2 linked regions of the Struthio camelus genome follow. The protein of the gene in region 1 purifies or fractionates together with the protein of each later gene. This does not show direct contact. Links are inferred from orthologs where the notes say so. Each region holds a gene or a part of one and is shown on either strand. Other genes may lie near its edges. The genes, in order: TDRD3 and FMR1.

Region 1 (16,310 bases):
CAGACTTCTTAAACACATTGCTGCTTTTAACTCACTCTTCCATTGGAAGTTCATCTGGCTTTACTGGTTTAAAAAAAAAAAAAAAAAAAAAAAGTCAAGCATGCTGCCATTCCATTCTGCCCAAGTCTTTCTCTCAAATCTGTACCAAGATCACATATTTTAATTTTACCTTTACAACATCATAGGAGGGAAGAGGTAAATTTGCCCAAAGTGGTCAATTACAATTGTGTAACAAGCTCCATCCATTCACCTCATTTAGATGATGATATCAATTAGTTTATCAATAGACAAATCAACATAAAATATTACAAAATTCAGAAGGTATCTTCAACTCAGAGATAACGTACACTCTTTAATATAAGGTCAAAGAGCATGTGGATAAAGAGGCAGAATGAAGGAAAGTACTACCTCATTGAGTTAAATATAGTAAATAACACCTGCCTTAATAAACCATTTGCATCTCAAAAAGAAGGCAAAGCCTATGAGTTACAAGGCTAAGTAAATAACTTTTGAAAGGAAACTAAGTAACTTCAAAAAGCAAACTAGCAACAGAAAGTTTATGTGTTGCTGTAGAATGCATTTATCAAAGAGAATCAACCTGAGACACACCATATGATGAAAAGCAAAGGTGGATGTTAAGAGAAGGTCTGCAATGATTTAAAGAACTCTCAACTTTCAGCTTTAAAACTGTTTTAAGTAGACTACATATTTTGTATTCATTTCCTGAGTAAAGAGTTCACAGTAGCAACCTTCTTCATTCAAAGTCAGAACAGTTCTATGAACAAAGGAAACCTTAAACCCGTCTTTCAGCTTCCTAGCACATTACTCAGAGAAACCAGGAGGTAAAGGTTGTGTCCCCAAGAAAGATTCATAAACTGATCCGAGAGCTGGCATAACAAGGCAAGAGAAGGAGAGGCCTTTCCAGCAACTAATAAAAACCCAGAGGCTGAGATGTAGTAAGGCAACTGAAACTACACTCAAGACCGAGTCCATAGGGGTCTGTCACACTTGCTTCTTCTTTTCTCTTTGTCCCATTACTTAAAAGTCCCGTTCCTTTCTCTCCAAGTTCCCACTCCCGCTCCTCCCCCATTCCAATCAAGAGGAGAAAATTCTTCCCTCAGTAAAACTATAGTGTGAAGATAAAGACCTATAACAAAAATAAGAACAGAAAGGGTGGATGTGTTTATCTGATCTTGGACCTTCCTCCAAGAGTTGGGTAGAAGCAGGTGACATGGGCAAAGAATGCAAGATATGGGCAAATATAGAGAGAAATGCTTGGAATGAGTCCTAGCTTCTAGCAATTTTAGAGCTAGCAGCTGCATTCCACCACAAAGTTCAGTATTCAGTGCATCTATCCCTACCCGATTTTGTCTAATTACTATTTTAACCCATTTATATTTTTCTGCTCCATAATATTATGTGGCAATTGAGTTCCACAATTTAATTACACGTCGCTGGAACAGCTACTTAAGTTTTCATCAGGTAGCGTGTTTAATTCAATTCACTGGCTGGCCTAATTCTTGTACTAAGAAAAACAGCTATCCTTGCTTTCTTTTCATCATTTCTACATGATCTATGGTTTTATAGACCTCTTTTACCCCTCCCCTTATACTTCTGTTTTCCAAACTAACGACTTTCATCCTCCCCAGTAAAGATGTCCACACCTCCGATCCAATGTCTCTCTTCTTTTACACTGTCTATGAAACCCTTGCTGTATTGGGACGATTCCACTAGTGCACACTGTTCCAAGATTTTAACACGCTATTGATACACATAAAGAACAAAATAATTTGTTAGGCTATTATGTCTTTCTGAATAATTCCTAACAGCTCTGTGATCACTGTCCTTTTTTGAGTAGCATTATATTTAGAGTTCATCATTGTTTATACTGGTTTGCATTATTTTCCCTCCATGTGCCTCACTGGCATTCATCAAAACTGAACTATGCTTGCCATCTGAAACCAGTAGGCAATGGTATGATAAGATTCTTCTTCAATTATAAAGTCAGTTTACATTTTACTAACCTGAACATATCAGTAAACTGCTATGGTGCCACAATACTGTCATTCCTTAAGAAATTCATTCAATATGAAAAAGCCTTAGAACCCAGCAGAAATCCACTGGTAACTTTTTTCCATCATGAAGCAACCACTTATTTTCTTTCTCATCTTTTAACCAAGTATACACAGGATAACCTTCCATCCTCCTCAATAAAGCTTCTTTAAGAAACTTTGATCAAGGTCCTTGGTCAAATATTTTTCGAAAATGCAAGAGTACTATAATAATCAAATCTTAGCTACGTGGTCACTGGCCCCTTCAAACAATTCTGATGGCTGATTTCCCTCTGCACAAGTCATGGAAGTTTGCCATCTCCTCCATTACATTTATTCAAGGGACTGATAATACCCTTAAAGTAGTTATCAATTTTACCTGAACTGTCTGACTTACTGACCTTTACTTTTACAGATAATACAAAATTAAAACAGTATCATATTAGCTATCTTCCATTTCTCTCTTACCAATAATAGCTTAAATTAATAGATTAAAATACTGTTAGCAAGAATGCAAGAAAAGCTCTACTGAGACAGGCTAATGGTTCATCTAGCCCAGTGTTCTGCCTCCGACAGCAGAGAGACTCTTTTGGAACAGCTTAAGAGCCCAGTCACTTCCTGCAGTCTGCTCCTCTCGCACTCACGCAAGAACCTCACAACCAGCAGATTAGGTTTATTAGAGGACACATCACTTTCTATTCCCTTTAAAAATCTGTTTATAGGCTTCCTGTATATAAAATAGCGCAATTCCTTCTTAGCCTGCTGATAAAATTTGCCTCCAAAACCTATGTGGCAACAAATGCTGCACCTTTACCATCATTGTGTAGAAATATTTTGTTTCACACTTTGAAACTAGTATGCTACTAGCTTAGTAAGTGCTTCCTGGTTCTAGCGTGGCAGAATTCAGTGAGCAACAATGTTGCAGGATTTGGTGAATAATAGTTTTATAGTCCTCTAACCTACCGCTCCCCGATTAAACAAACCTCACTAAATCTTCCACCTTTGGCTTTCTCTCCTGCAGTTCAAGGAGTTCCAAACATGTCAGTCTCCCAGAAGAGAGCTACTCTATCATAGCTCCCTCATCAGCCCCTTCCGTCTCCTTAATTATTTCAGTTATCCTTCTCTGTAACTTTTTAACTATTAAGTACATTCATATCCTAGTTTCTTTGAAATCCTGGGAAGATTCCATCTGATTCCACTAATTTGCTACTTAGTAACTTCTTTAAAACAAACAAAAAAAAAAATCTGTATTAGTTTCTCAAACTTATTTCCCTAAACAGAAGGGACAATATTGGACCTTCTCAGCTCCTCCAGAGAGAAAATGGTAAATATACACGGATATATATGTACACACACGCACACAACAAAGAAACACTGTTCTAACAATCCATCACTCCTGATCCAGCAAGAATGCAAATCAATCACGCCAGACAGCGTGGGATACACCTTGATAAAAGAACGCAACTACGCAGCCCTTGGTTTTCTACTGTAACTTAGTGATTTTACAGTACCAACTAAATGCCATAAACCATATTGGTAGGTCATTGCAGGAGTGTCATAAATCTCAAAACAGAGATGCACCTCTCCTGTGAATCACTGGGTTATCCCTGTATCTAGGGAGCATTTGTTATCCAGGCTGGGCTGGATATCCCCATAAATGTTTGTTATCCCCATAAATGTTTGCTAATTAAAAAAGAGAGAGTTAATACACTTCCATTCCAAGACAGAATATTTTTTCACTACAAAGTAATACAAACACACTCCATTTAATTTCTAAAAGTGCAGCCAATATCACATTTGGATATACAACATCTAAGGTACAGTGTACGAAAAGAACTAGCCTCAAAAAATGTGTGCTTTTTAAGACTTTTTAAGACAGCTGTCTTAAAAAGTCTGCAAGGACATCTCCTCCTCTTCAGGAAAACTACAGTTCTGTTCACAAACTACAGGGGTCTTCTACCTGTTTTCATGAAATACCTCCCCCCCCCCAAAAAAAAAAAAAAACCTAGGTTCTCAGAATTAGCTGTCACTGTTAAATTTACTATGTAGGGAACTCTGGTAAGTTCTTAAAAATGTAACTAATATACTGAAACAAATTGAAAAAGCAAACAATACAAATTTCTACACAAACTTATAACAGATGACTAACAACAGGTGTTTGAAAAAAGTATATTATATTGCATTAACTATACTATGTCACTGCTTTACCTGGAAAAAAAACTTTATATTCAGAGATGCAATAAAAACTAATTGCAAAAATCCACATAAATGAGTGTCTATAGTAACTTTTCTTATCTTTTATAAGAAAAAAATATATGTATCTTCTATCTACAAGACTTACTGTAATTGAATTAAAAGTGACAGCATCTCACAAGCTAGCAGATTTGCAACTATGAAACAATAGTTTCTTATTCTGCTCTGGTGCTTCAGTTGTTTTTGTGGGGATAGACTATGATGTATAAACTCAGCTTCAGTTTTTGCATTAAGAAACATACCATCTGACATTGAGGAGAAACCAACAATGGAAAGAAATTGGTACTGAACATGATTTACCTGCAAGCATAGATCAGAAACATACATTAAGTAACACAACTGAAGGCTTACTTCCACATGTATTATAGACTTTAGGATCTGCTACTAATACTAAGAGGACAGCAAAGTCACAAACATAACCGCAAAAGCAAAACAGTTAAAAGCATACATGTCTAGATTACTAAAGTACCTGAACACTTGTCTAAAGAATATTTCTGATGCATTATTTCTTTTTCCCACTCCACCTCACTTTCCTCAGAAGTGCAAGTGCCCATTTCCCTTTCCTTTCTGCTACCCTTCCCAACGAAACTAGGTCAAGGCATAATTCCAACAGATCTAGTAATCAGCCCACTACTCGCCTGATCATCTTTCAGTCACTGTGTTTTTGGCTCACACCCTGCAACTTTGTAAGAATAATGAGTGATTAATAGCCATTAACAATATACATCCCCAAAAGAGAAAGGCAAACAGTGCAGAATTACATAGACCATTTCAGATGTGCCTCGTATACGTACTACCTAAAAGCAGTTTAACAATGGCATTCATTAAACCAGCAAAGTAGCAACATCTACTAATTGAAAGTTGTGCTATAAAATTTTGAATATATAAAAGGAAACATGAAAAGCATAAGTTTGTAAGTTATTTTACGGAAAGCCTTCTCCTTTTTGGAGAGTAAGGAGTATGGAAAATGGAATAAGCTAGTCTTATGAAAATGAACATAAGTAAGTAACTGATTGTTTCCATCCACCCGCAGCCAGTAATCACTGGATTACACTGAACTTTATATACCATTAAAGCAACAGTATTTTTGAAATGTATGATACAGTTATCCAAGAAACAGACCTAAAGACCTTATTTGTTTTCAATCCGATTAGTATTATCACAAAACTATTCTGTGAAAATTAGCTAAAGTAAAATTGTAACAGCAGAAAGGTAACAGATTAGCATATTAACAGAAGTTCCTCCATATGCTTTGTTTTAATCCAAATTTGAAAGAAGCCATTTCAAGTGTATGACCATAAAAGCAACAACTAAAATATGATGCTTGTTTTAATCTTTTATGTAAGCCATAAATGAAAGCACTATCCAGTAAAACCGCCAAATTAAACTAAAAGCACAGAAATAAAACTATCCCCAAACACCATTGGAAATAATGATACTTCTCACAACTTAAGAGGTTTTCTCAACACAATCAAAATAAATTGTTTTGTGACTTGGTCCTTAGCAATGAGCTTTTGTTTTGGGGGAAAAGAATGGCAAGCTGTTGAGGAGAAGCAGCAAAGTGTTGATCAATAAGGGAATTATATCGATCAATAAATCGTCCAGTTCTGGTCAACAAGCCAAAACACCTCTAGGCTAGCAAATAACATGGACAGTTTGCACTAGATATTTGAAAACAACTACCCCAAACTTAAGCGTTTTGTTCCCAAAGAGATAAGGTATCCAACGATTAGCCTCGACTAGAAGGGATGAGGACTTGGATTCAAGCCTCAAGTGCGCATTTAACCGGCTCTGACTCCACTTGCTCCAACTTATCTTCTTTACCCAAAGGGTCCCAGCCAGCACGGCCCAATTAAAAAAAACCACAGCACTGCCAAGAGGCTCCGGGCCTGCTCGCCTCTGAAGCGGAGCCCAGGGGAAGGCAGCTGGCGGCGGCGCGCTGCAGCTCAGCGCCAGAGCCGGCGCCACCAGCCCAGCTGCGCCCGCACCGCCGGGCCCTGGGAGGCCGCGCGAGAGACAAGCCTGGGCAGGGGCATAATGTCACCCGGCCCCTTTCTCGGCGCTTCCTGAAAACAAGCATGCGCTTACAAAACTAAATTTAAAAAATGAAGAAAAGGAAAAAAAGGAAAAACCCAGACTCCCTCCCCCCTCCAAATCCCACACCGCTGCTGGTAGGGCCGCCCCGGCATGGCGGCAGGCCGCGCCGAGGCCTAGCGCAACCGGGCGCCCGGGCCGGGCCGGGTCGGGTCGGGCCGCGGCGCCGCCACTTACCAGCCCGCCTCCGAGAGCGCGGCCCGCGTCCCGTCGGCCATGGCGCCTCCTGCCGCCGCTCCGCACCAAGCTCAGCGCCGCCGGGCCGCGGGGAGGGGGGGCCGGCTCACCGGCGGTGGCGGCGGCAGCTGCGGGGAAGCGCGGGCGCTGTGGGGGCCGCTCGTTCCCCCGCCCCGCGGCCTCTGCGGGCGCGGGGCCCGGCCAGCTCTCCGGCCGGGGCGGTCGAGGGACACAAGGAGGGAGGGAGGGAGACGACAGCGGCGGCGGCGCACACGGAGACGAACAAAGCCCGCGACCGGCGCCAGCGCCGCTCCCCGCCCCTGCGCGGCGACTCGCCCGCCCACCCGCCATGAAGCCGCTGCCGCCATGACGGAGACGGGAAAGCGCCAGGGCCCGAACTGGCGCCGCGGGTCCTGCCTGCGGCCTGGCTCCTCTTGAGCGGGAAGCCTTTGTTTTAAGCTTATTCCGTCTATCAGTAAATAGGGGTAATGCCACTCAGGAAAAAAAAAAAAAAAAACAGGCAAAGCCAAAAGTCTTCTCGATATCCTCAGGGTGATGAGAACTGGGCTTTTAGAGCGACGGACGTGACTTTTCGGAAGGGAGCATGTTCCTGTGGTTTCTTTTAAGTGCTTTCCTTTTTAAGTTTCTTTCTGTGCTTCTTTTAAACATCTAGTTTTCTGAACTGCCTTTTAATGGGAATTACGTTTTAAAAGAACGGAGCTGCTGTAGTATCCCGTTCCTTCCAGTAACAATAGCAGGGGATGGGAGCGCTGCTTTCCCTTTTGCTACCTGCGCCAGCGGTCAAAGACCTTACCGGAGCTGAGTGGCAGTACATCACAAATTAAGAAAGTCCCAGCCCTAGTCCCGGTGCTCAGGATAATCAGGATAACTGAGGTGCTCATGACAGTGACTTTCCAAAAGACACTTAATATTAGCATGTCAACAGCATCCGGAAACTTTTATAACTAATCACTGCCAAATACTAATTTTCTTTTCTGAGTTTCAAAAATCTAGCTACCTGCTCCATTCATCTATGTTAAGGTGCGTTTTTCTCCATGGGATCATTCTCATCCCTGGAATGTTTTCATTTTCATGCAGCATCTTCAAGCCAAAGCTTGCTGTTTTTCTCTTCCGATCTACCTGAAAACCCGTCTTTAGTGTATTGTCTAGAAGTCACCCACGGCAGAAGTTATACGCATTGTAAGCCGTCACCTCTGCTGTGCTGGTCAACACTAGTCACTTTTTTACTGCGTCCCGCTCATTCTTCCTGGGTTGTATTCTCTTTCCTGTTGTGCAGATTGTACACTCTAACACAAAGGTTTTATCAGTAGCAAATAATGTATCCTGAAAGGCTGCTGTTTTTCTAAAAGTTAGGCATCTTTTCCAAATCATTTAATAATTATATTTTTAAAAAAAGAAGAAAATCATATAGAAGAAGAAAACAATGCCTCTATTGTTCAGACAGATCTGAGCAACTTCTTACTGTACATATATTTTACCCCTTCAAACAGTTCTGTTCTGGAGTCTCAACAAAAGGAATATACTCTAACCCTAAAATAATAAATTTGCAGTTAAAATATAGGACTGTCAGATACTATCTCAGCCAGCAAAATCTCAAAACAATATCACGCTGAGTGGAGTTTTAATCCCCATGTTGGTCATAGGATAGAGTTGAGTAGAGGGAACATAATTAATTTGGAAACTGCAGCACCCTTCGATGCAAGGACATAAGAAAGCAATCGCCAAAGCCATCTGCATGGAATTCAGCAAACACAGGCAGCCCTGTAGCGTATGGATTGAACATCCAGGTGATTATTCAGATTTTCACAGGTTGTGCAGTCACATAATCACACACTCTAGTTGAGTGTGAGCTTCCATATCGGTAATGTCAAGGAGACCTAAAATAAGAGTCCAGATATATGCTTACTATATCACTATACTGAAGAAACTCTTACATTAGTGCAGAGGAACGCCCCAAGGTCAAACAGAAGAGTTACTTTGAAATAGTAGTTGCTGAAGCACTCCCTTGATTTTGTTGCAGACTCATAGTAGCAGCTGCGGACACAGAAAGCACCAGCAGATAGGTGGAACTGTACTGCCAATTCAGTCACTTGTTAGGAGAAAGAAATAGAAATAAAAGTACTTCTCATTCAGAATATCACCTGGCTGCACATTAGATTATCGAGGAAACACTGTAAACATTACTGTAACTGGAAAAGGAGTGCCTGTAGAGCCAATTAGTAAAGAATGGAGAGTTACGTAGGAGAAGACGATAACGCAAATTGCTCACTTTATGCATTACCTCAAGTTAGTTTAAGATATGGAAGCCTTTGCTCACTTAAATCTTCATCAAAATCACCAGGCAATTATACTGACAATTACTCCAGCATATGGCTATCTATTGCACCTCATGGCACAAAATACCATCTGTAAAGAAAATGTAGTAACAAATATTGTCCTTTTTAAAGGTCTGTAGGCTTCTTTTCTGACAAGTTCATTGTATACAAGCTGAGATACACATATGTTATGTGTAAATATATACACACTTTTGTACTTGAGAAGTCCCCATTACTGCATATTCTCTTGGTTAGCAGAGGGCACTGCCCAGTCTTAGCTTCTGTTTCTAGCTTGCTGATAGCCCTGCTGCAACATGAGACAAATAATTAGGTCCACTGTAAAACAGAAGGTGATACAACACCTGCCACACAGTCATAGAATTGCAAATTGGAGGAAAGAGACCCTCTGTACCAACAGTTAATGAGAAAACATTCTTAGACCCGATCTCTGCATGCACCACCTTTAGAATAAATTACATTTTCTGCTGAAACTAAGGAATGTCAGAGTACTTAGGACCACACAGGGAATCAAGCTAGACTCCAGCACACCTGTAAAGGTCTCTAGCCTACATGGCTTTCTCTGAAAAATACATGTCATTCAAGATGAATGTTTGCATCACTCTCCACAAAATTTGCACAGACTCTTTGTGTCCAAACCATAATCTAGTTTGACATATTTCACGGATGTTGAGGAGCACCTATTTCTCTTTCCAAGTGTCTACTTCAAAATGTTGGCTATTGACAAGTGTTTGGTTAAAAAACAAGGTCTGTGAGGAACAACTAACTGTTAAAATTACACATTTAACTTCAGGGTAATTTGTGTGATACAAAATCTCTTTTTACTGTACCTCTGAAAGAGGTCAATATCAGAGGAAAGAGTAATTTTTGGCCATTGTAATGGCTTGCACAAATGCACCCACATGCATGACTCATTGACAGTCCTACTTAAAAATGCTCAATATGTAAATCAGCTATGTTAAACTTTAAGGAATGCTTCTGGTTAGTTATTCTCAAAACAAAGCAGAAAAGTGCCAGGGTGCAGCAAGGGCTGGCTGCTTCTCAAAGGAAGGGGCACTGAGAGCAGAGGACAACTGCAAGGCAAGCATGAGCATGGACCTCACCAGCAAGGAACAAGGGTGCAGAGCAGCAAGTCTAGATCAGGGTCAGGGCCAGGGACAGTGGTCGGGTCAGGCACAGACCGGCAATCGTCAACAAGCCCGCAGCAACAAGGCCAGCCCAAGGCCAAACTAGGAGCCAAGCTGGTGGGTCCGGTTCAGGACCAGGCGTGCAGGGGTTCAATACTGAGCGTAGGCGGACCCACTGCACAGCCACAATGTGGCTCAGGCGGGAGCCAGCCATGCAGTCCCAACTGGAAAGCGGCTCCCAAGTGAAAGGGGGGCAGCTCTCGCTTCCAGCTTTCCTGATAGCAGTGCTCATCAGTGATGGAGCAGACCTTGGACTCAGCTGTTAACTCCTTCACTTAACCAACCAGACTCCGAGAAGGGGGATGCACTTCAAGCCCTATCAACAGGACAGTTTCTGCTGCTATATTAATGTGTGAACAGTTCTGTTGCAACATATTAATTTATCCATGATTTGTCTCTGAAGACAGGTTTCTTCATGTTTCAAACAAAAACATGCTAAATGCTAACAATGTTCTGAATCATCCACACACAGGATATAAGACTTAACAAATTACTCTGAAGCATCTTTTTCAAAGGGTATCGGCTTTCAGAGAAAACTGGAGAAATAACTGTAATGATCTTTTCCTTCAAAAAAATAACATGTGCCTAGTACTATATTATCTTCAACATGTTATGCATGAAGCTATTTATGTTTTAATAAGACCTTTTTACACAATAAAATTGTCTCTTTAAATTTTGGTTCTATTAGGTTTCACTTTTGCATATAATATATATGCTTGAGGTATTACATGGCTATTTAGAAAAACAGGGAGGGAAAGGTCGCTTAATATGTCATCTTAGGTACTCTAACTGCAAATATGCAACAACGTCAAAGTAAGTAATAAGGACCCCTCACCTCACAGAATCACAGAATGGTTGAGGTTGGAAGGGACCTCTGGAGATCATCTAGTCCAACCTCCCTCCTCAAGCAGGGACCTCTAGAGCATATTTCTCAGGATCACATCCAGACGGGTTTTGAATATCTCCAGGGAAGGAGACTCCACAACCTCTCTGGGCAACCTGCTCCAGTGCTCTTTCACCCTCACAGGAAAAACTTTTTTGCTCAGGTTCAGATGGAACTTCCTGTGGTGCATTTTATGCCCATTGCCTCTTGTCCTGTTGCTGGGCACCACGGAGAAGAGACTGGCCTCATCCTCTTGACACGCCCCCTTCAGATATTGTACACATTGATGAGATCGCCTCTCAGTCTTCTCTTCTCCAGGCTGAACAGGCCCAGCTCTTGCAGCCTTTCTTCATAGGACAGATGCTCCAGCCCTCTAATCATCTTGGTAGCCCTCCACTGGACTCTCCCCAGTAGCGCCATGTCTCTCCTGTCCTGGGGAGCCCAGAATTGGACACAGGACTCCAGGTGAGGCCTCAGCAGGGCTGAGGAGAGGGGCAGCATCACCTCCCTCCACCTGCTGCCAACACTCTGCCCAAGGCACCCCACGATACCCTTGGCCTTCTTGGCCACAAGGCCACATTGCTGCCTCCTGCTCAACTTGGTGTCCACCAGCACTGCCGGGGCCTTCTCGGCAGAGCTGCTTTCCAGCAGGTCAGCCCCCAGCCTGTACTGGTGCATGGGGTGATTCCTCCCCAGGTGCAGGACCCTGCACTTGCCTTGGTTGAACTTCATGAGGAGATGGAGATTTCATGGAGAGGAATCCACCCAGCCTGTCCAGGTCCCTCTGAATGGCAGCACAGTCTTCTGGTATGTCAGCCACTGCTCTCAGTTTTGAATCATCAGCAGACTTCCTGAGGGTGCCCTCTGTCCCTTCCTCCAGGTCATCAATGAATACGTTGAACAAGACTGGACCCAGGACTGACCCCTGGGGGACACCGCTAGCTACAGGCCTCCACCTAGACTCTGCACTACTGACCACAACCCTCTGAGCTCTGCCATCCAGCCAGTTCTCAATCCACCTCACTGCCCACTCATCTAGCCCACACTTCCTGAGCTTACCTAGGAGGATGTGATGGGAGACAGTGTCCAAAGCCTTGCTGAGGTCCGGGTAGACAACATCCACTGCTCTGCCCTCATCTACCCAGCCAGTCATTTCATCAGATTGGTCAAGCATGATTTCCCTTTGGGGAATCCATGCTGACTACTCCTGATCACCTTCTTGTCCTCCAGATGCTTAGTGATGACCTCCAGGAGGAGCTGCTCCATCACCTTTCCCGGGATGGAGGTGAGGCTGACAGGCCTGGAGTTTCCTGGCTCCTCCTTCTTGCCCTTTTTGAAGACTGGGGTGACACTGGCTTTCTTCCAGGCCTCAGGCACTTCTCCTGATCTCCAGGACCTTTCCAAGATGATGGAGAGTGGCCTAGCGATGACATCCGCCAGCTCCCTCAACACTCGTGGATGTACCCCGTCGGGGCCCATGGATTTGTGGATGTCAGGTTTGGACAAAAGATCTCTCACCTGATCCTCCTCCACCAAGGGAGAGTCTTCCTTTCTCCAGACTTCCTCTCTTGTCTCCAAGGTCTGGAATTCCTGAGGACTGGCCTTAGCAGTGAAGACTGAAGCAAAGGTGGCATTCAATGACTCTGCCTTCTCTATATCCTTTGTCACCAGGGCACCCGCCCCATTCAGCAGCGGGCCCACATTTTCCCTCGGCTTCCTTTTGCTACTGATGTATTTGAAGAAGGCCTTCTTGTTGTCCTTGACATCCCTTGCCAGATTTAATTCCAACTGGGCCTTAGCCTTCCTTGTCGCATCCCTGCACGCTCTGACAATGTCCCTGTATTCTTCCCAAGTGGCCTGTCCCCTTTTCCACATTCTGTACACTTCCTTCTTCTGCTGGAGTTTGACCAGGAGTTCCTTGCTCATCCATGCAGGTCTCCTGCTTGCTTTGCTGGACTTCTTCCTCAGAGGGACGCACCGATCTTGAGCCTGGAGGAAGTGACGCTTGAATATGAATCAGCTTTCTTGGACCCCTCTTCCTTCTAGGGCCCTATCCCAGGAGATTCCCCTAAGTAGGTCCCTGAAGAGGCCAAAGTCAGCTCTCCTGAAGCCCAGCGTTGCAATCCTACTCATTGCCCTGCTCCCTCCTCACAGGATCCTGAACTCCACCGTCTCACGGTCACTGCAGCCAAGGCTGCCCTCAACCTTCACATCTCCAACTAGACCTTCTCTGTTTGTTAGTACAAGGTCTAGCAGCGCACCTCTCCTTGTTGGCGTCTCCACCACCTGGGTCAAGAAATTATCATCAGTGCTCTGCAGGAACCTCCTGGACTGTTTGTGCTCTCTTCCCAGCAGATGTCAGGGTGGTGGAAGTCTCCCATGAGAACCAGGGCCTGTGATCGGGAGGCTACTTCCAGCTGTCTGTAGAAGGCCTCATCAACTTCCTCTTCCTGACCAGGTGGCCTGTAGTAAACCCCCACAACAGTGTCACCAGTGTTATCCTGTTACCTCTGCCACACTCTACTTGTACTCCACATATAATTTATACAGTACAACTTATTTTTTCTACTACATTCCAATTATTAACCAACCAAGTTCAAATTATTATTTAATGCTAGTTTAGATTGAATTTTTGTCTTCTAGGCTTTCTTCATTACACTGTTTGAAGACAACACGTTCTCATGCTGAATGCAAGAATCTTACCCTAGACCCGTGGCCCAGAGTAACAGGGTAGTGAAGGTAAAGGGCCTTCACTTCTGTTCACTGAATTTGTCGGTGTGTGCCGTGTTTACAGAGCTGTTTTCAATTGTTTTAATGAGCCAGGAGAAAATATGCCTTTCTATATTATACTTTCTTTCTCTAAATAATCTGCCCTAGGCCATAGCTCAAAGGTGCTTGTGAGTGTATTTAATCTCAAAGGCATTCTAGATGGCCCTGGTAAAAACTGACTGTCTCTCACTGATGGGCAGTGCCTAATTTGATTAGGCTGCAGTCAAAAGGATCATCTTTTTAGTATGTGTTGTTAATGCATTTCAACCAAAATGTGCAGTGCTATTGGTGAATGTTTTCTCTGTTTCATCTGAAGGGAGAGAAAGTGCTCAGCACTGTCTTTCTCTTCGTTCTTTTTCTAACATGAACTTCCCTAAGTTTTAGATGAATAGCAAAGAGTCCAGGATACTACAGCTATTTTGCACCAGGGAGGTGTTTGCTGGCGGTGAGAGGCCTCTTCCTTCTCAAGACAATCAGGAAAGTGTTAATTCTGAAGTCTTAGATATAATACCACACATAAATCCACAAACTACATAGTTGCAGGTGGCATTGCCAGGAGAGAGAACGTCCACTAAGGACAGGACTAAAGTGTTAGTCAAGCTGGCTGCCACTGGTTTTGTCATTTGACTGTCCAGTTTTGGAACTATTTAGTTCCAGGCTCCCCTCTTTCTCCCACAAATCCTTACATCCATGACAGGCCATGGTGATCTTGAAAGTATATTCCACACTGGCATTTTGTCAATCTCAGAAGCAGCATCATTGCTCTCAAAGGACAATTATCCAGTTGTCAGGATAAGGCCTTAAATATAACGGCATGATGATGCTATGGCCAGTTCTATATGTTTGTCAAAATAGGGCCATTTCAGGTCTGAACATTAGCGTGGACGAACCTGCATGGTGGCTGTGGTGGATCACTAAGTACAGCAGGATGTAATCCCACGTAATTATGACCCTGGCGTGCCTCTTCCAGGGGTTAAAAGGAGAGATTGTGCACTATCAGTGATTTTGGCTCAGCTCAACCTGCTCGTCTTCAGGACACTGAGTTGGTAAATAGCCAGGGTGCAGAGGATCAAAAAGCATATGACTTTACAGACTTTCACCTGGCTCAGGTAAACATCCAAGCCCTGAACAACCGTGCCTCACCTCTAACATGATGACCTTTATGAGGCTGATACCTTCACGACTGGAAATAAGTATGCCACTGTCAGGGCTCTAAGTGCACCAGCGGGCTCTGCAATCTCTTCATCCCTCTGAGGGCTCTGGCTGCCTGTGCTCCAGGCCAGCTCTGTTATGGTGCAGCTGTAACCTTGGGTCAGCCTGCTGAGAAAAGAGCTGTGTGAGAAAAAGCTGTGGGAAATCTCATGGAGGCCTCCTGCCCTTTGCTTGGGAGCTGCACTCAAGTTCAGGCCCACACTCTTGCAGTGTGCCTGAGCTACCTTCCTGGTATGTCTGTGTCTTGGCCATGTGCACTGCTGATCCTGACCCATTGACTTGACTTCCTGGCTTGACCTTGAACCTGCCTCATCACTACAGATGTGTCTAGTGATCTGGACTGACCTTGGTCATCATCATCGGACCTGCTGTGCTTTCCTTGCTCAGGTCCTATGGGACTGTGCCCTTGTTAGTGTGGTGACTACCCTACCTGTCTTGCTGTCACCCTTGGCTCCTGGCTGGCCTTCCCTTGTGGGGCAGCCCATGCTTGCTGCTTCCTGCTACCACCCCAGAGTTATGAACATCATCAGTTACATCATGAAATCAGTGTCACACTGGCAGTCAGGTCATGACTGAAGCATGAAATAGATATATATGATGTAACTCCATATGATATGCTCTAGATGTGCTCTAGATATGCTCTAGATGGCTCTGCTTGAGCAGGGGGGTTGGGCTAGATGATCTCCAGAGATTCTTTCCAATCTTGGACATTCTGTGATTCTGTAACTGAACTAAACTCGATAACGGTAGAGATATTGCTGGAGGCCAATGGCTGTCCATAAAGACTCTCAGCATAGCATATAGAAAGAGATGCCCTCACATACAAGGAGAGCAGAGAGAGAATGCCTAATGCTCTCTGCAGATTTCTGCTCTTTTCTTCATGCTTCCCAGCATCTCAAGTTGAATTTGTCGTAGTATGTCTCAGTGAAATTAAGGTGGATACTGATGGACAGTGCTGGGCAGAACTGCTCATGAAGGGTTGCATGGTGAAATCATAGCATATATGTGGACCAGTTGAGTTTGGGAGGGCACTTGAAGTGCTTTTGAGACACGTTAAAGGCTTTGATAAATGTCATGCAAGAGACATCTCTTTGTCTTAAGAGGGTGCCTCACAGTGTGAGGCTGTTCTTAGGGGGAAATAAAGTACCTGTGGTGTGGGCATGGGTGGAACACATTGGAGCTGCCCATCCAGCCCCACTAATGTCTCTATGCTGTTCCCGTGGAGTAGGGCAACACCACCCCAAACACTGCAGATGATGGAAGCCCATAGATCAACCTAACCGTGCGATGCCAGGTATAGACACCATTATGCTGCACAAAACACTAACAG
Region 2 (16,428 bases), on another chromosome or scaffold:
TTGATTCTACTAAAATTAAACCGCACATGCGCACATGTATCATTACTCAGAGACATTCAGTACTAGAAAGAAGTTCAATGCAAGTTAATAATCTGAAAATAACTAACGCTACCTTGAAGAGAAGTCACAGTAAAGTCACAACTACAATATCAAAATATGTTACAGTTTGCTCATCTCTCACAATACTGTAAGAATAAGTAAAAAGTTACTGAAAAGTTTATCATCATCATAAAGAAGTTCCTTTACAGACCATTAATATATTTAAAACATTCTCTAATAGCACATAGTTACATATTTTGAAATTCCAAGATATTCCTTCCAAGCAAATTACAAGCATAGGTGATATTTTTCATGACATGATACAAAACAGATCTAAAACCACATCTCAGCATTTCTGTACTGATATCTACATGATCCTATTTATTTTTTAAAAGGCCTATTGATATAAAAAGGCAATAGAACTCCCAGACAATCATTCTGGATACTGAACATGGATCTAATGTTTTATACTGCTGTTTCTTCTGCAAGAAAATTCCAGAACAGGATATGCATTTGACAGACACTGTGGTAGCCCTGACTCATTTTGCAACATTACACACATCACCTTCAAAGGTTCTTCCCACATTTCTTCCAATGTTTGTCATGTGCAGCTCTGAAGCACCTATTCTTATAGATGGAGCAGAAATGGATGCCTTTAAAACCTGAAAAATACTGTAATCACTATCAAGAGTATTTGGCATGACTCCTTCACACCACAGAATGGAAAAGGACAGAATTTAGTATTATTAGTAACACTTAGGTAGGCAAAAGCTGAGGTTATTTTATGAAGCAAATCCAACAGAGATGACATAAAGAGCACTAACTAGCCTTAAGGAAAACAGGTAGAAGTAACACAAAACAATGTCCTCAAAAACCTGCTGATTTCCATTATTTAATTTTCGCAGATTCATAATACAACAACAATCACCACTTCTACTACGAAAGATACTTGGAGAAGAAGCTCCTGTATGGTGATGAACAAGACAAAAGACAATAAGTAGCACTCCTTAAAAATTATGAGAAATAACAGAAAGAGATTAGGGAGCAGCAAAGAGTGATACTGTATCTTATATCCAGATCTGACAACTCTTAAGATAGGATTGTAACCTCCCTAAAAAAAAAATGTTTTGCCTATAATCATAGCACTTTCATTAAAGGTATTTTGAGCAGAGTCCTAGTGCCTACAGCAATATAAGTAGAGAGCAGTATTAATGCTAACACCTTCCATTAACAAACAAACCAGATGATATCACAAACCAACGTAAGTTATCAAGCTGAAGACTATCCTGAGGACTTTAAACAGTCTAGTGCTTATGTCATCTGGAAAAAGTAAAATTTGGACACATAGCTAATTGGAAGAATATTGAACTATGGGCAATTCTTTTCTCTGACCTGAAGAAACCTGAAGCAGAAACACTAAAGATAACTGTTGACCGTACACAGGTAACATCAACACAGATGGCTGAAAATAATCAAACTGACACCATTTCCTTAGTTTACATTTAGTCAATATATACAGCAGTTCTGCCTACCTCCGCCATGAGATTTATGCTTACAAAACAAATTACCAAACAAATATATTAATAATTTAAATACTTGGTTGACTAGTCACAGCTATCCATAGAAAGTAATTTTTTTTTTTTCATTCTGCTCTCTTGTGACACAGGGAAAAAAAAGATTCTATTAGTTTTCCTAGTCTATATTATCGTGAAAAAAAAAGGGACGATATACCTTAATCATATCAGTTTTTACAGTCTGTATTGTGGTGTCATGTCAGTTTCCCTCAACTGAAAGTATTTCAACAAATCTGTAGTAGCCAGTGCTTTATAGTCCAAATATATTCAGTTCTCTGTGTACTTGTAAAAAATTTTTTTAATACTTTTGAACGCATGCAGATAGCCAAAATTAATCACAATTATTTCCTGATATTCTGTCACACATGTGCAAGTGTACAAAACAATGCTAAAAAGCTGACAGACCTTTAACGCTGTAAGCCCAATTCACTGAAACATAGCTTGTCCAGTTCCAGATGTTAGTAAAGGTAGAGAAAGAGTAGTGATTTTGCACAAAGTACTAAGGGAATGGTATTTGTAAGAATTTATCAGTTTGGGGGGAAATAAAGTGTACAAGCAAGGTGTGAAAACTGAAACATAAAGATGCATAGATGTGGGTTTGAAGAGTATGCCCAAGAAAGCACAGAACACTGGCTATCATGAACAGATATGTGAAAAGCATAAAAAAGATTTAACAAGGAAGAAGAAAAAAATAACTTGAGAAACCTTTTTAAAAAAATAATAATAGCAGTGACTGATATGGAATGCAACAGGAGGACAAGGGAACAGCTGTTACTAGTGAGACATTAAGTAATAAAGAACTAAGAAAGATGAATGATTTTGTCAATTATAACTTAAATGGAAGAAAGTGAGGTTTCTAAAAAGAAACAATGGCAAAATACTGAAACTGCTCAGATTGGAGGAAAAAAAGGATGTGGAAGAGTTTAACAAGGTTGTAGAGCAAAAAGTGGCAATATTTGATTACAGACAATATACAGATGTTGAATTAAAATTTATTGCAAAAGTATGTGACTCAAACAGGATGCTTTCTCTCTTTAGCAAATGATAGGTGAGATAATCACTCTCAAACATGAAAGGCATCCACCATGTCCACCTTTCACAGGGAAATGTCTAAACCTAGTCCTGGAAAAATTAGACAGAGAACTGTCTATTAGGCTTCTGAGAATGAGATAAGAATTTACTAAACCTATACTGACTAACAGAAAACGTGGACAGGTATGCCCTAATAGCTCAGATATTCAAGATTTAGTTTCCTGAGACATCCCAAAAGACAGATCCCTCCCCTTAGGATTCACGGTTCTGACCGCTTGTTGGACTGTTTTTTCTAAAAGGAAAAAAAAAAACATGGGATTTAATCTTTTATTTCAAAGGATCCTGGGCCAGGCAAAAACATTATCAAGTCATGACAAAGCATCTGTAGGCACTGGATTATTGATTACCTCAGGGTTGCTCTGAATCATGCTCATTGACTGCGCTACACTTTCCATGGAATAATTCATAATAAGCAAAGAGAAAAAATTCATGAAAATAAAAAGCATTCATCAAGTGGTACTCTAATTCCATTAAGAACTAGTCTGCACTACAGTGATCAAAGCAACACACTCTGGAATTCTTTGAAACATAGTGCACCTGACCAGCATGAAATATGAATTCTCAAATCTCCCTCATCCTGAATGCATATTCAAACTAATGAGATATCAAAATTATCTTCTATGTTTTTTGTGGAACGAGACCTCTTTGGCTGTGTCTTCAGAAGGCTTTCTGGATCAAGGCCCACGGAGAAATGCCTGCTTTATGACTCTCAGTAGGGCTTATGGGACAATTAGGCATCGCTTCTGAACTTTCAGGATTAAGGTGCTGCTGGGTACATTCAAAAATGAAACTGCTTAGGGACCTGAACTTATAGAGGTCCTCAAAGACAGCTACAGAAGAGGTATGAAAACTTAAAGTGGCAATTAGTTGCCTATTCACTTAGAACCTTCATGAATCTAGCGTCATAGTCCTCCTCTCCATGTCTTTGAATCAGTATATAGGTGTTTTTAAAATACATTTACACGTTCTAATGAAAAACTCCAGAATGACTCAAAGCCAAAAAAGTTTCTATCAGTAAACCATGACATGGGGTAAAAAATTTTTCGTTTCTGATTTGTTTGTAGTGTTATAGTTGTAAAGCAATTCTGAGGAACCTGCTTAAAGAAACTTTTAAATGAAAAAATAAAATCATCTTGCAATTAAAACCTGTACTTGACACCGTAACATAGTTCACTGGGACAACCAATTCATTCTACAAATCAAATCTTCCGTCTGCAAGATGGGAATAAAACTCACAAGACGATATGTAGATTAATTACTTCATAACAGACTGACACTCAGACACTATGACAAAGAGAAAAATTTTAAATAAAAACAAAATCAAGTAATTCAGGTAAGATGAAAAATACTGATTTTTATTAAACATTATTCTATGACTTTTTTTTTTCTTTTTTTGTTTAAAACATAAATGCAGAAGCATTGGTTGTTTTTTTTTTTTTTTTAAAAAAAGTGTGATGCTCCATCTAGAGAGGTAGTGCAGCTGAATACCAGTAAGTCTGTGTGTCCCTTTGGTTAATTTAACCAAGTCTCCTTGGTTAAATTTATTACCTTAAAAATTAAAAAAAGACCAAAAACACCCACCTATGTTTGAATTTCTGTAAGTTAAAAGGCAAGCATAACATGCAGCCTGGAAGCAATTTTTGTGTTATAACTTGGATGCACTAAATCATGTTTAGTAAATAATCTCCCATTACTATATACGCTCATCTGAAATTGTCATCTAAACCACAACCAGAAAGGGGCTATGGTATGGATGATGGGGAACAGGACACCATATCATCAAAATTGAATGTGATAAAAAAAAAAAAAAAAAAACAACCCCCCCAACACACACACCAACCACCCTCTACACACCCTACAGCAGCTTTCAGTTCTCCCAGGTGTCTTTAATAACACTAGAGAATGTATAATATCATTTTCATCATCATCTATTTTGCATGGTGTGTGTAAATACTGGCATTAATTTGATAAAAGTCTCATTAAAATTATTTCCTTAGCAACACATTTATACCTTCTTTTCCTTTCAGAGCAAATACCATATACTTAAAAACTTAAAATTGATTTTTAAAAGTGTTAAATAATTTAATTGCAGGAAGCTATATACAAATTTTGCCTACAACACTGCAAACCCACAAGATGCTTTATTTATCATACTTATAAACTTGTTTCGTGCACACTTCTCTTATTTTGAAAGCAAGATAAAAAGATATTATCACATATATATTTTAAAGTAAACTTTTAAGACCTCTTTTATTTCAAAAGCACTCAAGGCTGTCAGAACTGTTTTATTTGGGTACCAACCTGCCCTACCACACTAACATCAGACTGAAATTCTACCTGCTCCTTCATTGATAACATAAATATTGGATGTTGCACAATAACTAGGCCCATTTTTTTTTAAAGTACTGGGAACATTTAAACAATAGCAAACTTGCACAAAGGGATCCATGACTTGTTTTTGTTTGTTTAATGTTCTGATGATAGGTGTAGAACCCCACTGCCTTCAATGATAGTAGGCCCTAACCCACTATGTTCAAATTGTATTTTTCTGTAAATAGAGTAAAACCAAAGTATACCCTATTCATATGCTGATTAATAAACCTCAACTCATGCAAAGCAACAGCAATACTTCACAGCATTAATAAAGATATTAAATACTCAGATGTGTTCAAGGCTCAGTGATGGCTTTATTCAGCACTAGCACAAGGGCTTGGAAACAAACATGGAACACTATTAGGTAGTTTCAGTAAGAAGTACATTTCATAATTAAATGTATTTAGAAACTCAGCACATGTATTCTTGGTCAAGCAATGCTTTCTTTAATGTCAGTAGGCAGTATCCCCAGACGTGGCATTAAAAGCAACAATTCGCAACAGCATTTCATCATGAAGGTGTATTTAACAAGCTGCCCTCCTGCCCTCCCTCCCCCGACTTAAACGCTCTCCCCTAGCAGGGCAGCTCTCCTGGAAACCCGGAGAGCGAAGGAGACTTTCCTTAAGTAGCGACGAAAGCTGAGGATTTAACAATTAATGCCCCATCTCCAGCTCTGATCCTCGCTTCAGCGCCAAGGAAAGGAAGGCCCAGGGCCCTCCTCGCCGCCTCCAACACACCGGCAGCGCGACGGCCTCCCCTTCCCACAATAGGGGGAAGGCCCAAGGCCTCCTCAGCGCCGGGGGCCTCTCTCGCCTTCCCTCCCTCCTCTCCTCATCAGGCCTCGCGCTCCCCCAGCCTGTGGGCCGCGCAGCTCCCCGCTCCCCCTACCCACAGGCCCGGCTCCCTCTCATCGGACGCGCAGAGGGACTCGCCGAGGCCTCCACCCCTACCCCACTCTTCCTCCTCCTCTTCTTCCTGCCCCAGGGCCCCCGCTTTCCCTCAGAGCGGGGAGGAGCCGCCACCGCCGCCGCCTCCTCCTGTCCCAGGCCCCACTCCCTCCCCTGAGGCCCAGCCCGACCCGGCCGCGAGCGCCCGGTACCTTGTAGAAGGCCCCGTTGGAGCCCCGCACCTCCACCACCAGCTCCTCCATGTTGTGCCGCGGCGGCTCGGTGCGGGAGACCCAGGCCCGGCGCCTCCTCCCTTCCCTTTCTCTCGCTCTCGGCGCAGGAGGGGGAAGAGGAGGAGGTGGATGTGTGCCGGGGAGGGGGAGGGGAGGGGGAACCTCAGTTCACGCCGTGCCCGAGGGGGGTGGGGCCGCGCGAGGGGCGGAGGGCGAGGCTGCCGGCGAGCGGCTGGGGGGGACGCCGCGGGGACGCTCCTCGCCTCCGCTCCGCGCCCGCGCCCGCCCGGAAATGAAAGCGAAACGGTCACCGCCGGGCGGCGCGGGGGGCGGGGGGGGGAGCCTGGGGGCGCCCGCTCCGAATGTAAACAGTAACCCTGCGTCACGTGACGGGCCCGGGCGGGGCGGGCAACTGGCTGCAGCCCGCGCGCCCCGCTCGCGGACCGCCTAACGGCCAGGCCGCGCGCGCGCCGGCTCGACCCGACCCGACCCGACCCGACCCGTCCCGCGCCCCGCCGCGCCCCTCCCGCGCGCAGCCGCAACGGCGAGGGGGCAACCTAACCCGGCAGTTGCGAGTCACATCCCGCCTCCCCCTTGCCCTGGCGCGCCTGACTGACGGCCCCGTCGGCCAATGATACTGCGCCCTGGACATCGCGTCCCAGCCAATCAGAAGCGGGTGGGAGCGCGCGGCCCGTTTTGCGAGGCCCTTATGACTGGGGGGGGGGGGGGAAGCTGGGGCAGAACCGTTGGTTCAAAGCGGCTCCCGGCGGCTGGGGGGGAGTGCTGTGAGGAGAGAGGCGGGAGGAGGAGCGCGGCTAGGCCTGGGGGGCGATGGGGCCTCCTGAGTGGAGGAAGGGGGGCTGCATAGGGGCTCTTGGGAGCGATGCCGTTGTGGGGCCTGCAGGGGGGGAGTGAGGGTGGTGGAGCTGAGGGTGTGGGGGCAGCCGGGGATGGGTGAAGGGGAGGAGAGAGCCTGTGGGGCCAGGGCTCGAGTCCCATGGGTGCTCTGCGGGAGATGGCCGCCAAGGCAGGCAGAGGTAGGCGAGGCTGTAAACTGGCCTGTGGGTCACCTCTGCTCCCCTTACAAGTAGCCTCTGTTGTAATACTCCTGGTACTACACTCTTGATTACACACTGAGGACTAAAATCTGAACCTTTGTGACATGTGTTGTAATACAAATACTGTGCTTCCCAATGGTCTGACTTGGGGGTATGCTGAAGACCTACATGCCTCATAGAGGTGTACTGTAAAGAGACCAGTAGGCTTGGAAAGTTTCTGTGCTATTCACTCTACTTCACCCTGGGAGAGTTAAGCTTTGTTCAACAAACTCTCAGTTTGCAAAAAAACAAGTCTGCTATATCATATATGCTATTAATTTATTTCTATGTAAAGACTTACTGCATTTTTGCATGTTGAAGTGGTCGCTTCCCACGGACCTTTAATCGCTTTTTAGATCTTCTGGCAGTTAGCAAAATGTAACAGTTTGCATATTCACTGTAGAACTTGATCGTTGAACAAACTTAAAAGAACCACCGTAACTGTGATGCAGTATTCACAGTTGGAAGTGCATTGGAAGTAAGGCTGTTTGTTCGTTTTTCATTAGACCTGCACAAACATTAACAATTCTTCTGATGTATTTTTTGTATGAGTTACAAATAATAAACAAAAATGGTTCTGCTGTTACCCACTCCACCAAAAATCACAACTGCAATATATTATCCGAGCTGTAATTTCTCTGAAAAAATGTGTGATGCTCGTGTTATGTAAGTAATGGGGTAAAATCCTGTACCTCCTGATGATTTTTCAAAACTCTTGAATCAGTAAACCTATGATTTCATACCTCCTCTTGATTTTTAGTTTCAAACCTTGCCAAATCTGTGTTTCTCTGTGTGCTGCATGGCAAGCTGTTCTGTACTCTTACACTTATGCTAAAAAGGGTATACAATATTTCTTGCAAATTGTAATAACTTTTCATTTTTTCCCCTGTGAGGGATTTAAATTGCCTAATTCTTGCATACTCTGTGTTCACCTGCTTATTGTGATGTTTGTTGTATGCATATATAGTATTGAAGTCGAAATTCAATAGTGTGATTGCTAGGCAGTGTATCTTGAAAAGGAGTTTGATTCTCTTTTCAGCAGATTTGCATACTCTTTTCAGCAAATTCTTGAGGACAATGAAGGATCAATTCAATCTAATGACTTAGCTTGACAGCCTGCTGTGCTCATTAAAGAGGCTGTCCCAGGACTGACTTGCTTGCCGTTGGCAGAGCGTCCAGGAGAACTGAAAGAGAAGTGAAAAAAGAGGGAGCAATGACACAAGAGTTGTGTATAAATTAAAGCATCTGAGAGATCAGATCTTATGGAGTCCCCATCATGAAGAAATTTAGGTGAGACGCACCTCTTCTGTCTGACTTGTTCATGTTAGGAGTACTTTTGTTGACAAAGAGTACTTTGTTTTAATAAGGTTGTTTTGAAGGATGATAACTCTTCTAAGCTGAACAACAAATCAGATCACAGCAGGAATTGAAAGAATGGTGATTCTCATCTCCAATGATCTGTATGGGAAAAACTGACAGCAACAAAGGAAGATTTCACTTAAGAATTACTGTAAGGACCTTGAAGTAAGTCAGATAACAAAAGAGGTAACTTTGTTCCTCTTAAGGTGTTCCTCTTAAGGCGGTGCCTTACCGCCTCCCCTCCGCCAACAATCAAGTAAAGGATTAAAGAAATATTTATATTAAATAACCACCTCATAGTTTTGTTTAGTCTTAGGTTAAACTGGATTTGTAAAAACTCATATTAATTATAATTGCAAAGCTGAAGATTGTTCTTCTCCCAAAACTCCACTTAAATCAAATTGGTACTGTTGACTGTTGCCTTAATTTCTCATACCTTTGTAGTAGTTCAGTTTTAATTGATTACTTTGGTGTCTAAACATTATTGCCCAAAGTATTCCCATTTTTGTTACGAGTGACAACTATAATGCTATTAGAGTTACTTTCTTCAAGTTTCGCAGCACAGCTTACTGTGATTATAGGAAAAAACACACCTACCTCACTTTTTTCCTAGGTCTTCCTGTAGATTCATTGACAATGTTATATTGATTATACTTGTTTCTCATGTTCTTCACATATAGGAAAAGTAGAAGCCGTCTAAAGCATCAGAAAAGGAGATGTCACTGGAACCATATAAATGGTTCAGGTCAAAATAACCCAGCAATCAGCCGAGAGAGTTGATGCCTAACTCTAAAACAAAGCTGTCTGAAGATTTTTGGCATTCATTACTGGTTGTAATTATTCTCTTGTTAATAAATTAGGTTGCTGTCATGCGGGCAGATTATTTCTAAGCAGATAGAATAGAAGGGTGTCTGATTTAGCTCTGACTTCCAGTGATGATTTCACTACTTTCCCTAAGCTAAGAACTGCTGTGCTGTATAATCTCCCCTAATGCTTGGCTTAAATTTTCCTTGCTGTTTCTTAAATTCAACATTTTTCACTTTATTCTGACTAGTGAATGTTTTAATCCTTGCCTACTTGATGAAACAGATTGGCAGATTTTCAGAGATCTCTTTATTTTTTTCTGCTGATTGACTCTTAACCTTTCCTCTTATTTTCCAAATTACTGTTTTTACTGTGTTACTTTGAACTGCCTCCAAACAATACCCCTTCTGACATGTGATGTTCACAAATTTAATAAGTTTTTATGTAGACTTAATGTAAACTAGATCCTTTTAAATATGGCTATTTCAAAACCAGTAACATTGTAAAAATAGATCTCAGTAATTCTGTAAAAGTCTTTTCGTCTGAACAGTAAAATGTTATTTCATTCAAATGTTAGACTTTATTTATTCTATGTAACAGTGGTATTCATTTACACTACACCGTGGCCTTGGAATTATAATTTAACTAAAATGCATTTTTAATTTCCAGAATTCTCTCATAGTTCCCAATAGTCTCAATTCACCTGTTTCTGGTCTTGGCTTTGGTCTTACAGATGCTCAGTGCTTTTATTTCCTATTCAGATATATACTACTTCGTGTTTGCAGGTTGATCTACTAGCTGGAAAGTATTTCAGGCGCACTGCATTTGGAATACCTGTTTTCAACATCAGAAAAATTCAAGAAAATCTTAGACTTTTATTCACTACTGCCTCCACATGAGGGCTTTCTTAAATATTTGTAGGAAATGTAAGAAAAATCTTTCCTCCTTTAGGAAAGTTGAAGTGCAGAAAACTAAGGTAAATGGCACTTCTCAGAGCATATCACAGTCGTATAGTTAACAGTGATTGTCATTCATGTCCTTACTCATCGGTGCAGGTTTAGCTACTACTGTTTCCCTAGGATTTACCTTAAGTGAACCAGTTCTTTGTCTATTTATCTTTACCATGAAATGCTGACTTTACTTAGATACATTGAAGAGTTAAGCATTTAAAATCTAGTCATCGACACTGGCCCTTCAGAACAACACCAACAATCGAGCATCAAGGGTTTGCTCTAGATATGTGAAAAACCCTTCATATAGATCAAGGGGTAAGAACGACAGGAATGACTTGAGTATTTTCTCCAGCCAGTGCTATTTATCTTAAGGCTTGGTGAAGGATTCCAAATAAGACTTAACTCATGAAACATTATTTTTAGAATGGTCATCTGGTAACTACCAAAGTCTCTTAAGGGCATTTTATGCCGTTCTCCTTATTTACACACTCATTTTGAGCTGCAGCTCAGTCCTTCTGAGGTTCATAGAGCTTTTAACTCAGCCTTTTAAATTCTTTTCTGCTGATTTTCCTTGTGCATCGCTTCAGACAGTAATCTCTCCAGGATGAGTCCTTTCCCCTTACAGAATGTGATACGGGTGACACTCAGACTTCGCCTGAAATTCATTCCTGTATTTCCATGTAAGCCAGACCGTCGCAATATATGTTTCTTATTTCTGAAACCATATAGGACACTGGGAAAAAATAATTTGTGTATGTTTGAGATACATAGGGTTGTGAGTTATTTCAGTGAGACCAAATGGTTCAGTCTGTTGTCCTCTCAGTCTGCAGCTGTAACTAGATGTTTCAAAGGTTGTTGGTTTAAAGTGTAGTCTCTGTAAAGTGCCTGTACCTGTAATGTTACAGTCAATAGGTGAGCAATTGGAAGAAGCCGTTATAATCAATGGAGATATAAAGATGCAAAACTTCTTAGACATGGTTGCTTTATGATTAATCAATAATAGCTGAAGGTTGAGTGTTACCAAAGTATTGCAGTTTTATTAGCCTATCCTTAACTGAACTAACACCCAGAAATGACACATGTCCAAATGAGGGTGTAGAACAGCAGGTAGTCCCAGAATTTGTAAAAAGAAGCTGAACTAAAACAGACAAGATTTGTGTTACCATATGTATACAAGGAATCAGATTATGCTGAGTTCATTCAGTTCTTTACACATGCAATGTGAACTTTATGTGGAAATCCTGACAAAATTCTATAAAAGGTAGTGTTCATGTGGAAAAGTAGTAAAAGCATAATCATTAAAAAAGACAAATGTTGTGAAAATTAACAAATAGAATGAAAAATCCTTCCTCACGTTTCCTTCTTTCTTTATCAGTCATTGTTCCACCCCTTCCTTATACAAATTTAATTATAGTTATTCGTGTAGTAAATTAGGAATAGATATGCATCCAAGGCTCATTTTGCCGCAGATTCTACTATAGTTTAGATATATCTTTCCAGTAGTGGTTTTCAGTTTCTAGAGTATACTATATCTTCCTGACCTGAATACGTAAGGACACCTGAGGGATTTAAGCCTACTTTGCACCTGCAGTTCAAAAGCTTCCCAGTTTCAGGAAGACGAGTCGAAGAAGTAAATACTAGAATGTAAGCTTCAGAAGGTTATTAAATTCAGTAATTTATGAAAATATGATCTTCTACAATACATATTTTGAAAAGGCTGCATATAAACGATCAAGTTCTAGCTCAGTTGTCATCCAAAAAACAACTGTCATGCTATTCAGTTCAGCTGTGAAATAATTGTCTAAGTGGGTGATCTCCTTATTTGCTTCATATTATGTTTTCTGTTAGAATAATGGGTTTTATTTAAAATTTATAGTAGTTTCTGTATTCTTCTAGAACAATTTCTGTATATCCTGTTGTTGGTTCACAACTGTCAGTAACATTTTCTTTTTTCTTTTTTAAAATTAATGGTGAGTATGGAAGCATGCATACAGAGTTTTGCTGTTTAATGATTTGGTTTCATCTCCCGTTCATGAGTCTCTATCTATTCCTCTTGTAACCCTACAAATACATTTATTAGTGCATTAAGCCCACATGTTATGTCTTCTGCAGAAGTATATCAGGGCTATACACAGTCCATGTTCATAGGCAACACTCGCATTCGTATGTAAAACTGCAGATGTAAATTCTTCAGCTTTTTTTTTTATTAATCATTAATCAAACAGTATTTGAATGAAAGTGAACGGATTCCCTGCATTATACAGGTCTTGCAACTGAATGGATGAATACAGTAAAAATTACTAGTAAACATGGAGTATAGCTGCTTATAATGTAATTCAAGATAAATGTTCTTCTCTTTTCATGGTGTGGGACAGCATTCATAACTGTAAACATACGGATGCTTCTCTGCAACATGTATGATGGATAGCTGTGTGTGGATAGTGTATGCTAATCTGTATACTAGTCCTCGTTTCAGCAAACTGAACTATAGTAAGAACGTGCAGCACTTACGTAATTCTTTATGTCTCTAGAAACACTACAAACCTTAATTAATCTCTGATCCCCATGAATTAGGCATTAATGTTGCCATTCAGAAAAGAGAGGATTGATGCATTAAAAGTTAACTCACCAAGAATAACTTTGGTTCATAGAATTAAGAATCCTATCCAAAGGTTCTGGAGCCAAAATGGCAGAGATTTATTTCACCATCTTGGGAGTAACATGAATTTCAGTGTCTGTAAAGGGAATCTTAGCTAACTACTCAGAGGAAGAGGCCTACATGCTAGGCATGTACATTTAGTTAGACAAATTCCACATTACAAGTCTTTTTGAAGTTTTTGGCCAGCTCCTGTATACATACTAAGGGGCAGTATTCATTAACAACAGTTCCAAAGATGGAACTCATGAGCTTATATGGTCTAAATTTCTATGCAATCTTGTACATGAAGTTATTCATACAATAAATAGGGATTACCTGTGTATTTCGCATTTAATTCTATAATACAGAATGCAAGCATATTTTTCTAGTACCCATTAACCCTAGATTAAAATTCATGTAAACTGTTCTTACTCCTTGACCCCAAACCATCCCAGATAAGTAAAGCAATCAAAGAAAAAGTAATTGCAGTAACCAATTTCTGACCATGCCATTTACCCCTTTCAAAAAAATTGAAATGCTGGAGTACCTAATTTCTCAACAAACGACTTAGAGTTCTTATTCTTGTTACAAGATGCTAATTTTTCAGATGGTTTTAGTAAAGAAAAAAGGGGGACATTTATTTAGAACACCACTATTACAATAAACTGTTACACTTTCATTTTACACTGAAATAAATATTACAGCTAATTAGAATTATTATGTCCTGCAGTATGATTTTGTTTTGGAGAATGAATATATGGGAACTTCTTCATTACACTCATATCTGTTCTTGCAGGTTTTTAGAATCGTTGCAATTGATTTCACTGTGATTGAAAGTTAGTGGGGTTTGCCGATTTTACTTTTCCTAACATGGCAGAATGTTTCTTTGTATAAGAATTGAAATAAAAAAAGTATTCTCATGGATTTCATTGTGATTATTTTGTGTTATTTTTAGGTGATTGTTTTGTTTGATGGAATACAATTTATTTGTGAAGATGAATCTAATGCACTGCATAAAAATCAAATAGAAATACCGTGTTTATCAGAGTGAAATTTTTTGACTTTTCCAACTAGATACCTAGAAAGATTTGGGGCTCTGTTCAGAGAATCAAGGAAAAAGTTTGTGCCCATCGTCTCTACTAACGTTCACAGTCTTGATAGAGAGTACTGGAGACCATTGTTAAAGTCTGTTCTCTGCTTCATCTAGAACAAGGAAGCACAACAAGATCTCCGGTTTCCTAAAACAGTGTATTTCTTACTGCTGTGCTATAGAATGTTTAGGCTTCCTGTCTTTTAACACATTTAAATATGCAGGAACTAGAAAACGGGTGCTCTACCTTCAAAGTGAGAGTGCTACCATTAAGCCAGAAGAGAGGTGCTTCTATTCTTTTTAGCCCTTTGCTTATACAAATGTGCCTGGAAATAGAACTCCATTTTAGTTTTGACAGTGTGAGATCAGAGGACAGATAGGGATATCCTGGATAATCAATTCTTGTTCCCCCCAAACAATCAAAACCAGCTCTGATATAAGAATTAAATCAAGAAGGTTCCACAAAAGCTCTGCTTTCTGCATGGTCAGTTGTAGATTATCCTCCATCTTATTGTAAGTGAAAGACTACAAAAGCTTCAAAAAAATACAATGTGCCATGTGAAGAGACCAAGAGAAAGGCAAATATTTTGTTTCCCTCTTCCCCACCAAATAACTTTCCACAAACCCAAAACAAGCAACAGGAAAAAAAGATTTTTCCAGAACTGTGAAAAAAATGGAGCTTGACCAGCGTTATGTTCGAATCACATAGATTTGAAATTCATGATGCAAATATTTCACTTCCATAAATGCCCTTAAGAGTGGCAGATGTTTATAGATAAATAAAAGTATTGCTGTTGGAATAAAATGTCCTGTGGTAAACCAATACTGAATTGAAAAGGTAGTGATTTTAGCAGGGCGTTCATTCTGTTGTGCATAAAAGCAGGATGTTTCAGTACTGAAGCTAGTACAGAGATGTATGAAGATTCATTGTTCCTGCTCTTGAACACACTGCAATTTTGACGAAGATTAATCTGGATAAAGCACGTGACTCTTCCTAGTCTGTAGCAGAACTCCCAGAGATGTCAGGCTGCAATAGGTCTATATTTCAAAGGCTCTATATGGTAATATGTTTATATGGCCTTAACATTGTTTGTATTGACTCTGGTGGTGAGTACTATGGAAGAACTATATAAAATGTCATCATCCTGACGTACTGTAATATTTAGCTCCCCGTTACAAGCACATATAACCTGAAAGTTTTTTGTTTTTCCCTTAAATTGTTACATAAACCAATGCTGTAGTCTTGTACAGTAGTAGCAGGTGAATAATGTGTGAAAAAAGTAAAGAGCAAAGGAAGCAATCAAACTGTAATAATGGTCTTTTAGTCCTGCTTTCTATTTTATTTCCAGCAATAGCTAACATTTTATCCTTTACTAGTTTCAAAAACAGTCTGATGTATCATTTGTATGCTTATACCCTGGACATGTTTGGTATAGCTATACATTTACCATCCTTTTTTTATGTGGTTTTCAAAAATCACTTAATATTAACTTGCATTTTCTATAGTTTCACAAACTGCAGAGAATTTTTTGAAAACGGATCTGTGCCAAGTTTTCCTGAAGTCCACAAGGATTTGGAGTGCACTAGTTAAGTCTTACCACTAGAGGACCCCCAAAGACAATTTGTCTTTTAATGCACATACTATATTTCAATGGTAAAGTGAAAGGTAACGCGGAAAATGAGGTACTACAACTTTGTCTTCAGAATACTGATGTATCCCATATATTTAATTATGTTTCAAGATAGCTGATATATTTCACTGTAATTTAGACACAGATAATCTGAATGGCAAAAATAGTGACTATGGACTTGGTTAGGACTGACAATATTTCACATAAACTCAGGAGCCATAAATGAACCAAATTAAATTTTAAGAACGTATAATGCTTTCTGTTAACAATCTTTTTACTGTTAGTATATTTAAATGTTTATAAATATTATTTTTATTATTGCTAAAAATATTTCAGTTTTGAAAACTGTCCTGTAAACCATGAGCTAGATTGCTCTTTCATTACTTTCATCCACTCAGGGGAACAGTATGAAACACTTACATATGTAGTACATGCGTTGAATCCTGAAGTTCCATAGGAACCCTTGAACTAGATTATACTTACTCTGCTTTAATGGTCCTGTCCCTTCCAGCTCAGAGTTCTTTTTCATTTTCATAGACTTTCAAAGAAAATGACATGTATTGAAAGCGGGGAGTGAGGTTATGCTCTCTTAGATTATTATGAGAAGTCAACTAAATTTTCTCATTCTACAGGAAGGACTTTGGTGTGGTACTCTTTA

What was found.
Region 2: the proteins of TDRD3 (region 1) and FMR1 purify together in Homo sapiens (affinity purification with mass spectrometry; 4 studies listed by BioGRID and IntAct, with this or other methods). This does not show direct contact. The link is inferred for Struthio camelus from reciprocal best matches to the Homo sapiens genes TDRD3 and FMR1.

The regions. Positions count from the first base shown.
Region 1 is NC_090942.1:185,217,677-185,233,986, forward strand, and holds the start of TDRD3 (tudor domain-containing protein 3), read right to left. Parts: upstream 6,755-16,310; 5' UTR 6,617-6,754; coding exon 6,576-6,616; intron 1-6,575. UniProt on the Homo sapiens protein: Scaffolding protein that specifically recognizes and binds dimethylarginine-containing proteins. Plays a role in the regulation of translation of target mRNAs by binding Arg/Gly-rich motifs (GAR) in dimethylarginine-containing proteins.
Region 2 is NC_090952.1:14,543,250-14,559,677, forward strand, and holds the start of FMR1 (fragile X messenger ribonucleoprotein 1), read right to left. Parts: upstream 6,583-16,428; 5' UTR 6,229-6,582; coding exon 6,178-6,228; intron 1-6,177.